Linked DNA regions of Arabidopsis thaliana. The protein of the gene in region 2 binds, or shares a complex with, the protein of the main gene of each other region. Each region holds a gene or a part of one and is shown on either strand. Other genes may lie near its edges. The genes, in order: PPH and ACD2.

Region 1 (5,585 bases), on a different chromosome or scaffold from region 2:
TTTCCCTTTTCTTCCTAAAGTTGTTTTTTTCTTTCCTCTTTTTTCCTTCCCTTTAAAATTAGATTTATTAGTACTAGTGTATTTTCTCTTTAATGTTGTTGTAAGACATAAATCAGACCAACAATGTTGACCGACATAAAAATAAAAAAAAGTTCAGAGCAACAATTAGAAACAATTTCAAAGTACCCCCAAGAATAAAATTGCAACAACTAGCATTGTTTGATGGTTACCATTATGTTATCAACTAGTGAGAGATAAAAAAACATACTGAGAAGTAATTTCTTACAACTAGTGTAGAACGACACTTTAGTAGCAGCTTTGTAACACCGGTTTTTTTTTTTTGACACTCAAATCAATAAATAGATAACGAGATTTTATCAGAGACTAAGAAACAAATTAAGAAAAGAAGCAGACCAAATCTCATGTTGGATATATAGCCTGTGTAAGTAAGTTTCTCAAAAGTGGTTTGGATAGCCTTCTAATTCAGTCCCTTATTTGTTGACCGTGGAACTGACAAAAATGAGATTCAAGCTAAGGGAAGAATATGGTCAAGGATACGACTTTGCCTCGAGAAAAGTAACCAATGATACGTCTTTTCAAACACCATACATGTTCAATAAAACTGTTCACCTTTGGAAATTATTAACAATTCAAATACACTCACTTTCTTCTTTTGGAATCAGAGTAATTTCAAGCTCTCTTCCAATTTTTAAGACAACTCATATGGCCTGCAATGTCGCCTTCCTATATTAATCTGAACCTGTGGATTATATACAACAATGCAAGAAAGGAGTTCCTTCGATTTAGGTGACTAACTATCAAGTAGATATTTTTCTAACTTTTCCTTTTGAACATTTTAGAAACTTGATTCTACAGACAACATTATATAGCTAGCATCGGATGCAACATAGATTACAATTAATTTACACTAGACGACTGTTCCATGCTTCTTCTATGCAGACTTCCCTCCAAACACCCTTATAAAACTGGATCTGAAAGATTCTCTAACTCCTCTCCAGTACGTATAGTTTGACCCATATAACCACAGATTCACTGCTTTTTTCCAACCATCTCTCGGGAACTCAATTTCTCTACCAATCCTGGACTCCTCCCAATCTTCTTCAGTGTCCTCCAAAAGCGGGAGCGCTTCAAAACCACCAGACTCCAGGTGCTTGATCCACCCGCGCATCAGATAGTTCACCACCTGCTCGTTTTCATATCCCAAATGGTGGGTTCATTATACCTAATTGCAGAGTTTGAAGAATTTATTGACTAGTTCATTATACCTCAGGGACTTCATCGTGTGGGCAGTGACCCGCTGGGCTGATCTCGTAGTATGGAGCGTTGGGGATTTCCTTCTTTATCTTCTTTCCCCATAACGGTCTCACCCATGGATCTTCTCTTCCATACATGAGACATATCTGAACATTGTTTTCCTTACACCTAGCATAAACCATCAAATAGCAGCATTCCTCATAAGCAATAACACCAATCACGCAGAGTAAAAAACATATAAAAACAAGAAACCACACTGTCTTATACCTAGATAAAGCTTCGGAGAAAGATAGCTCTCCACCAGGAGCAAGCATGATTGAAGCAAACGATGCTGCAGCAGCCGGATGCTGTGTGACCTCCACAATACGTGAGAATACTTTATCCACATTGATAGAATGGTCTGTGTAGACCTGTTTAAGTATCTCAGCTATGCTTTCAGGATCACTTATCTTTTGCCACCTGCAGTTTCATTGGGAAGTAAAGATATTAGACTGATAGAGATAGAAATAGAAAATGATACTTTTCAGGTGAGGAGATGTGTTAATAAAGTCTCCCTTACACCAATTCTGTGATTTTTTTCACTCTTTCCGGCAGAGGGAATGCTCCGGGCCATGGAAAGAGACGTGCTAGCTTTGGGGATCTTACTGGATTAGGGAAGAAACCCCAGAAAGGTGTTGCATTAAGCAAGGTAACACCCTTAACCAGGTGAGGATGGGTTGCTGCAAAGTAGAGAGCTACATACCCTCCAAGTGAGTTCCCTGCAATGTACACAGGCTCACCGATAACCTGTACAACACAAATACCACATACTCTTACCGACTCAGCAGCTTATTTCAGATGAAAAAGATCGTGATCTCAAACTAGAACACAAACGGAATCAAAGAACAGAGATGAATTCTAATATCTAGTGCATCCTAAACTTTCCCATTCCCAAAGCAACACCAGAAGACTCCATACCCACACTTTCAGGTTCTGAGCTGAAAACTATTGAAATCCATGAGTATACGACACATAGCAACAATCTACACTAAAAAAAAAAAGCTAACACACTGCTTTTGAAATTACGACTAAAAGAACAAAATCAACAGCTTAAAGAGTAATAGAACAACTGAACTCAGATATTGCTAACCTCTTCTACAAAATACTGAACTTGATCCCTCCAGAGATCCAGAGAGAATACAAGTTGATCAGCCCACGGTTCAGTTTTGTCACCAAATCCCCAAAATGGTTCCTTATCTTCCGAGGAACTGGTTTCTTCAGTCATGGTAGTAGGATCTTCAGTAGGGAGAGATAAACCCTGTCCAAGAAAATCAATAGCCCATACTCGATAATCCCTTCCCAAATCGGTAAGCTGCTTCTCATAGTGAAATGAACCAACGCCAAAGCCAGGAAGAAACAACACCGCAGGAGCATCGAGATTGTCACAACCGGCTTTCTCATAATGTACTCTAAGCTTGGGCTTCCACTCGCAGTGAGAATGACTGATTCGAGCAGCAATTTCACCATTTGATTCATCAGGCAAACCAGGAATCAAAACCTTTGACGTTGATTCTCCTCTTCTGGCTATACGACCCAAGTCATCATTCTCACCAACAACATAACCATCGGAATTTCCACTTCGAATCACAAGTCTGGATTTTTTGACCCCTGAGAATAACAAACTTGACCGATTTGGGACCAATCTTTTCGTTGCTAATTTACTACTCCAAGTAACCACAGAGCACTGGGGCACAACGTTCAGTGAGATTATCTCCATAACAAGTTCCTGCAAATGAACAACCAAAAGGCATATCCTTTAATACGAATTTTCCACTCATATATCTCAACTTCATAGCAAAGCTAAGAATAACAAGGAAAATCACATATGAAGCTGGAATCTTTGTATAGTTATCAGAATTTTGCTTCAAAAGCTGAAACCACATACAAAAAGTTGATGAACTTGCGGTAATCTTCTATGAACTCGTCTTATCAAATCCTAATCAAAACAAAGCAAATCAAGGTCAAGCCAATCTTCTATCAAATTGAAACCAAACAACAACAACACCACCCGATTCATCGACAAAGAACTCCAGCTATATAATAAACCCAGGAAGAAAAGAAAGAAAAGAGAGAGTTGCAACTTGTACCTTTTCAAATTCCAGAAGCGAGAAGCTTCATCAAATGGTCTCTCTGAGAGCGTTATTGAGAAATTAAGCGAGGAAAAATCTAAAGGTGAAGAAGAAATAGAAGAATTGGGTTGCTTGCTGGCTTGGTTAACTTCAATCGTTCGGTGCAAACCGACAGCAACGTTTTTATCGAGTTTTTATTTTTTCTTAAAGGATCCAAAATTCATACTGTATTATTAAGTGTAGGGTTATTTTTTTCACAATATGACATTTTGTTTTGGATCTGACATTGCTAATTTGACACCGATGTAACATTGCAAAAACACATGTTTGTTGCAAAAATATGACAGAATAATATTTTTTTTAAAAACAATTGATTTTTGATCTTCTTTTCCATTGTGTAACAATCGGAAAACAAAAAAAACAATCGAAAAACCTGCAGTTTTCATATCAAACAATATAAAACCCGTTTAATTTTTGAATGGTTTAATCACTATTTTAACGGTGTTATTTGAGTTTTCTAGTTGATTTTAAATGTTAGAGAATTGATCTTGTGTGAACTAAAAATCCTAATGGTCGAAGACTAGAAAGCGAAATACACTACTCTTCAATTAGAATACAGACAACTATCTCTAAACCGAGCGTAGAATCAATAGCAATAAACCGACCGTAGAAACTGGTTTCGCTGTAACCATAACCTTTCTTAATAAGACAACCGCGTTTTACCAGTAAACGACTTTTCCTCGCAATTTAATCCCACTTTTGTTATTTTTTCAAATTCGTTTTTCCTCGAAGGAGCATCGAGTAAATATATCATTAAAGAGCCTTTAATAACTTAGACATAATAATTATATCTTTAAAAAAAAAACAGAAAAATTCTTTGCTTTGCAACAAAGGCAGACAGACAAAAGGCTAATTCGGAGCTCTCCTCCACATCTTCTTCCAAAACACAAACAAACCCCCAAATTTCCAGAAAAATCAGATCATTCTTTCATCAATCTCGTCTTCTTTAATCTTAGGTGAGAATTCATCAGCTCAAAAACGCAGCACCCGATCGTTTTACGACTCAAATCAGAGAAGCTGATTCTTTTCCAATCATTCCAATTTCCATTTCTTCCTTGGGAGGTGATCGACGATTATTCAATTTATGTTTTTCAATTTCTCTTTCTGTATTCGTCAATTTGCTTGAATTTGATCCTAGGGTTTTGATTTTGTTGACTATTTTAGGTTTTACACCAAATTAGCCGTCGAAAGGGGTGCTTCTTTGATCTAATTTCGATGGCGGGATTAGAGAAAAACGCTGATTTCTCAGGGAAGACGACGAAATCGGCTACAACGACGTCGTTCTTCAACAGGTCGCTTACAATTCACGGAAGAACAGTGGTGGATTCGGGCCCCAAATCCCACAATCTCAATCCTTCTCTCAATCGTACCACCTCCATTACCAAATTCTACACCCCCGTAGAATCGATGGGAACTTCTCTTAAAGGCAAAGTCAAAAACCTTTGTAGATTATTCGAGACTTCCAAACCCGTTAAACCTGCCTTAGCTGAGATTCCTCAGAAGCAGAAATCCGGTAAATCCCTTTTACCCGAATCGCGGATATCGCCTTTTTCGAGCTTAAACAACTCGGTCATCCGTCTTCCCGGGACAGAGGACAGGATTGTGGTGTATTTTACTAGCTTGAGAGGGATTAGACGGACGTATGAGGATTGCTATGCTGTCAGAATGATATTTAGAGGGTTTCGGGTTTGGATCGATGAGCGCGACGTCTCCATGGATATCGCTTATAGGAAAGAGTTGCAGATTGCAATGGGAGAGAAGTCTGTGTCTTTGCCTCAAGTTTTCATTATGGGCAAGTATGTTGGTGGTGCTGATGTGATCAAGAGTTTGTTTGAGATTGGTGAGCTTGCTAAGATTCTTAAAGAGTTTCCAATGAGACAACCAGGGTTTGTTTGCCATTGCTGTGGGGACATTCGATTTGTTCCGTGTTCCAATTGTAGTGGCAGCAAGAAACTGTTTGATGAGGATGAAGATAGGGTCAAGAGATGTCCTGAATGCAATGAGAATGGATTGATACGTTGTCCTGATTGCTCTTCTTGAGATATATCATCAATGAACCTGAAAAAACCATTAAAAAAAAGAAGAAAAAAGAGGTATTTATTTCTCTTTTGATGTTTCCATTGTTGTGTAGAACAGTGAATG
Region 2 (4,402 bases):
AATCCAAACAAAAAAAGATAATATTAAAAAGAATGAAATAATGACAGGTTTAGATTTATTCACATTATTGTCGTGGTCAATGATCTTAAACGCCTTAGACAATTCGTCTATGGAGTCTCGTTCTCCGAATTTGGTTGTCATCATATGCACAAATTCGTCGAAATCTATGGCTCCACTTTGGTTTTTATCTACTTCTGCCATCAATTCGTTTATTTGCTGCAACAATGAACATGACCAAACTAAATACAAGTTGGTTCTACGTACAATGATCTAAACCATGAAATTAAAACAAAGAAGAAAAAAGGAAGGAAAACAAACAAACCTGATTATTCATCTCAAATCCAAGAGACCTGTAATCAGCTGATAATTTTTTAGTACTATACTTAACTAGAACTTGAAGAAAATAACTTTGAAAAAGAAAGAAAAATTGCCGTTGACCTCATAGCAACGTTGAGCTCGCTAGCATCGATGCTACCTACATATGAAATGATGCACTAAATCATGTGAGCAATAACTTTGTAAATCGGATAAAGAATCGGTTTAATAGTTTACCTGAACCGTCTATGTCGAAAAGATCAAAGATCTCTCTGATCTCTCGTCTCTTCTGATTGGTCAACCCATAAGTCTTCCCTTTAGGCTTTAGACCTCTTCTGAGCTGTGCTGCTTCCGACATGTAATTCGCCTTCCGGAAGACAAAAAGAAAAACAAAACCGATGAACAAAGTAGTCGGATAAAGAATCTAAACTAAGAGACAATCGAGAAAAGAAAACACTAACCATTTCTTGTGTAGGAAGGAAAAGGATGATCTGATAAGAACAAATGGATTAAATGGATGATTTAGTTAATTTGGTTTATGATGCATGCGATGACGAGATTAGTTGCCGATGATCTGTCTCTTTTTTGTCTGGTTACTAACTCTTTTGAAAGCGATTTAGCTTTAAAACTTTTAGTTTTGCACGTTTATGTTCCTTCGTTAATATTAATCTATATATTATATTGGTTTTGCTAATGTAAAATGACATGATCTAGAGAACGAGAAATTTAACAAAACATCCATGTAAAATAGTGAAAAAAAAACTTTAAAATCCATGAGAAAAACAATAATTCAAGACTTTTTTTTACAGATAAATTAGAAACTTGATTGATAAATTTACAATCCCATAGTATTAAAATGAATCAGAAGGAATCCGATTCAGAGATGATTCACAACAAAGACGTTCTTAGGAGAAAACAGGACTTGTTTGATGGTCATCTTGCGTTCTTGTGACATTGATGAAAGTAAATGTTTAGTACAATGAACATTAACTGATGTATATATATAGTTACATAATCTAGAGAACACCGAAAGCTTCTTTAATAGCGTGTACAACACGGGAGGAAACTTCTTCACCAAACATTCTCGGAAACTGCAAATCCAAATCGTCCTCTATGCTCTTCCTTCTAAAGCTTTTATCTCTTCTCTCCAACTCCATTCTCTCTTCTTCCCCAACCACAATCTTCTCTTCTTCTTCCTTCACACACCGCTCCAACCAAACCTCGAGAACCTCCTTAGCAGCTGGACTAACATGATCTCTCAATATCTCCTCCAACTTATCCTCTTCCTCCGCATCAATCTTAAGCATCGAAGCAGTAGGAGAGAAAGCAGAACGGACAAAGAGAGAAGGAGACACATAAGGGTTAACTTCAGGTAGCTTAAGGAGAGATTGTCGATGAGAATCAAGAGCAGTGTCTTGGTAATACTCCTTGAGATAATCCGGGTTAAGAACAAGATCTTTACGATGTGGGAGGTCAAGGATTAGCACAAGCGACTTGGAACTGCTCTGTATTAGTTCGACCACAAAGTTTGGAGCTTTTGTTGATGAGTTTAAGAATCCAGAGATGCTTGTTATATTCAAAGATACTCCTGTTGGGATCTTGCAATGTATCCAACTTCCTATAACAAAATCAATCTGCAAAACAAAACAAACTTTAAGATTCTCTAAAAAGTTTTTTTTTAGGGTTATGATTTACATCGAAATTGAAGTCTGTTTCTACTTAAAATCAAGCAATTGAGCTCTAAAACAAGCATGCAAAACAGTCAATTTCGATCTCATAACTGAAAAACAGAGTTAATCGTCGCAAGTACCGGAGAAGATTTGTCGCCGGATCTGATATGAAGAGATGCTTCGGCGGAACCGTTAGGGTTATTGAAGTTTCGTACATCTGGAGGGAGGTTACAGGGAAGGAGTTGTGATTGGAGGCGATTCTCCACCGTCGACATGAGATCAACCATGAGCTGCTTCCGCGTGGGTGACACATACGGGAACTCCATAAATTTTCGGCGGAGGTGATCGTCGTGGTCTTCCATGGACTGGAATTGAGCTCGAGGTCTGAGATTCTTTGAGAATCGCGACGGTTTTGAAGTTAACGGCGAGAGATATGATGGAGAAGAAGAAGAGTAGAGAGTGTTGCAAAATATCATCGCCATTTTTTATGTGGCTATGACTAAATTATGTCTCTTCTTTTTTATTTACACTTTTGAAGAAATTAATTACTATTTTACCGGGATTATAGTTTTGTGGTTTGTAATATATTTCTTGTGGTGAATTATTACATACACATATTTAAATAAAATAAACTATGCTTTTTAATTTTTAAATGGTTTGAGAGTTGGTAAGTGATCTTCTTCTACTCAATCAAGTGATGCAAGTATTGGGCCAAGAGCGACTTAATTGGGCAAACAAATAATAAGAATAAATTTCTAAATTTTTCGATTCTTAAACAAGTAAATGATTTGTTTGTTGTAGAGCTAGTTGGAATTATTTTTCTCTCTAGTTAAGTAGTGTCTTTGGAACCTTACTAAATTTTTATTTAATTTCATAGCATTTTCTATTTAGTATATTGCTGTATTTTTTCGATTCCTTGAAGACATCTTTATTTTTATTTTCCTGATAAAGAGTTCTAGAAAATGTTTCTGTGACTTTTATAAAGACAATTTCGAGGGAAAAATATTCAACGGATTACGTAAAAACACGGAAACCACCTACTACTACTTGCAAAGAAAATCAATCAAACATAAAAGTAAAATTTCTTCCTCTTTCACAAGTTTTCAACTAAGTAGATGACCTTAGACCAAGTATTTCACATGCTTTTTTACATTATGAAGACATAAATTAAGCAACAATAAAACTTCAACATCTGTTTTATTTTCTTAATACACTAATTAAATTATATAATACATGAAAATCCATTTATATATTTGCGTTGATCCTTCTGGACCTTCTTCACCTTTTTAAAACATAAAAATAACTTTTCTTCCTTACGGAAAAAAATAGTTTTTTAAATCATTTTTTTCGTCGTCGTCGATGACGTGTCACACGCTGGTTTGAACAGTCTTCTACTCTTTTTTTAGTTGCAGACTTTGCTGCTTTTCCACAACGGCGCGTGAAAGTCCACGTTCTTTATTTCCGTCATACGGGACCCACTCACCACATAATTCTTTTCATCCCGGTCCCTCTTTTTTCTCTCTCCTTTCAACCACACCCCAAACAATTTCAATCCTTCACCTACCCCCTCCTCTGCTCCTCCGCCGCCGTCGCAACCTTCGCACTCACTCTCTTCGTCAGACTCCACCGGTTTAAATTTCCCTCCTTTGATCATTTTATCGATTTGTTCCGGTCTTACTTTCAGATGACCCGTCAAGAACGTCACTAGCTCATCGCGCTGCTTCTTCGCCGCCGCGAGCTCCGAGCTCAAGTTATTGTTTTCACGTTTAAGCTTCTCGTTCTCTCCTGATAAATCAGCAACCATGTTCTCCACCGAACCAGGATTCTTCGACGAACCGGGTGATGACGTGGAGCTTGAACCGTGATCATCACCACCACCAGAATTAGACTCAGAAGGCGAACCAACAACAACACATTTCCCCGCCGTTGAAGCAATCACCGATTTACGCCGTCGTATGTCCGTCAACAGATCCTCCCCGCCTCTCCGGAAATAATCGTTTGCAAATTCCCATTTATCCGGTACAGTTTTACGAAATCCCTAAACCAAAAAAAAAAAAAAAAAAAGAACAAGAACATTCTCAGCTTCTAGAAGGTTTTCTCACCAACCCCCAAATTATGAGAAAATTACGAAATTGGCTAACCAACTACAAAAGAATGATTCAATTCACCAAACGAATTAAATGAAGCATTAAATTGAGAGTAAATGAGTTTTCGTTAGAGTGAAACTCACGTAAGTGTTGAGCTGACGAATGAAGCTTGAGAAATTATTATGCTTGAAGTATTGAGGAAGAAGATCTTTAGCAAACTCTGCTGTTTTCCACACGACAAAAGCTGTTCCTTCTTCGTTCCATGAAACGACGTCGTCTGTGCTATGATCATCAACTAGCTGATACGTTTTGCTTAAAAACGGCGCCGGA

What was found.
Region 1: ACD2 (region 2) and PPH share a complex: the UniProt entries of both Arabidopsis thaliana proteins name them as parts of the SGR1-CCE-LHCII complex.

What each region holds. Positions count from the first base shown.
Region 1 is NC_003076.8:4,451,111-4,456,695, forward strand, and holds PPH (pheophytinase), read right to left. Parts: upstream 3,599-5,585; 5' UTR 3,402-3,598; intron 3,251-3,401; 5' UTR 3,198-3,250; coding exon 3,138-3,197; intron 3,041-3,137; coding exon 2,405-3,040; intron 2,062-2,404; coding exon 1,835-2,061; intron 1,735-1,834; coding exon 1,543-1,734; intron 1,444-1,542; coding exon 1,287-1,443; coding exon of another isoform or gene 1,281-1,286; exon of another isoform or gene 1,205-1,280; coding exon 953-1,204; 3' UTR 625-952; downstream 1-624. Other genes in the region: AT5G13810 (Glutaredoxin family protein), read left to right, coding at 4,659-5,483. UniProt on the Arabidopsis thaliana protein: Alpha/beta hydrolase dephytylating specifically the Mg-free chlorophyll pigment (pheophytin), yielding pheophorbide. No activity on chlorophyll. Belongs to the chlorophyll catabolic enzymes (CCEs).
Region 2 is NC_003075.7:17,440,692-17,445,093, reverse strand, and holds ACD2 (accelerated cell death 2 (ACD2)), read right to left. Parts: upstream 2,483-4,402; 5' UTR 2,468-2,482; coding exon 2,126-2,467; intron 1,950-2,125; coding exon 1,332-1,949; 3' UTR 799-1,331; downstream 1-798. Other genes in the region: CEN2 (centrin 2), read right to left, coding at 64-216, 323-350, 439-475, 553-682, 777-779; HSF4 (heat shock factor 4), read right to left, coding at 3,388-4,023, 4,216-4,402. UniProt on the Arabidopsis thaliana protein: Catalyzes the key reaction of chlorophyll catabolism, porphyrin macrocycle cleavage of pheophorbide a (pheide a) to a primary fluorescent catabolite (pFCC).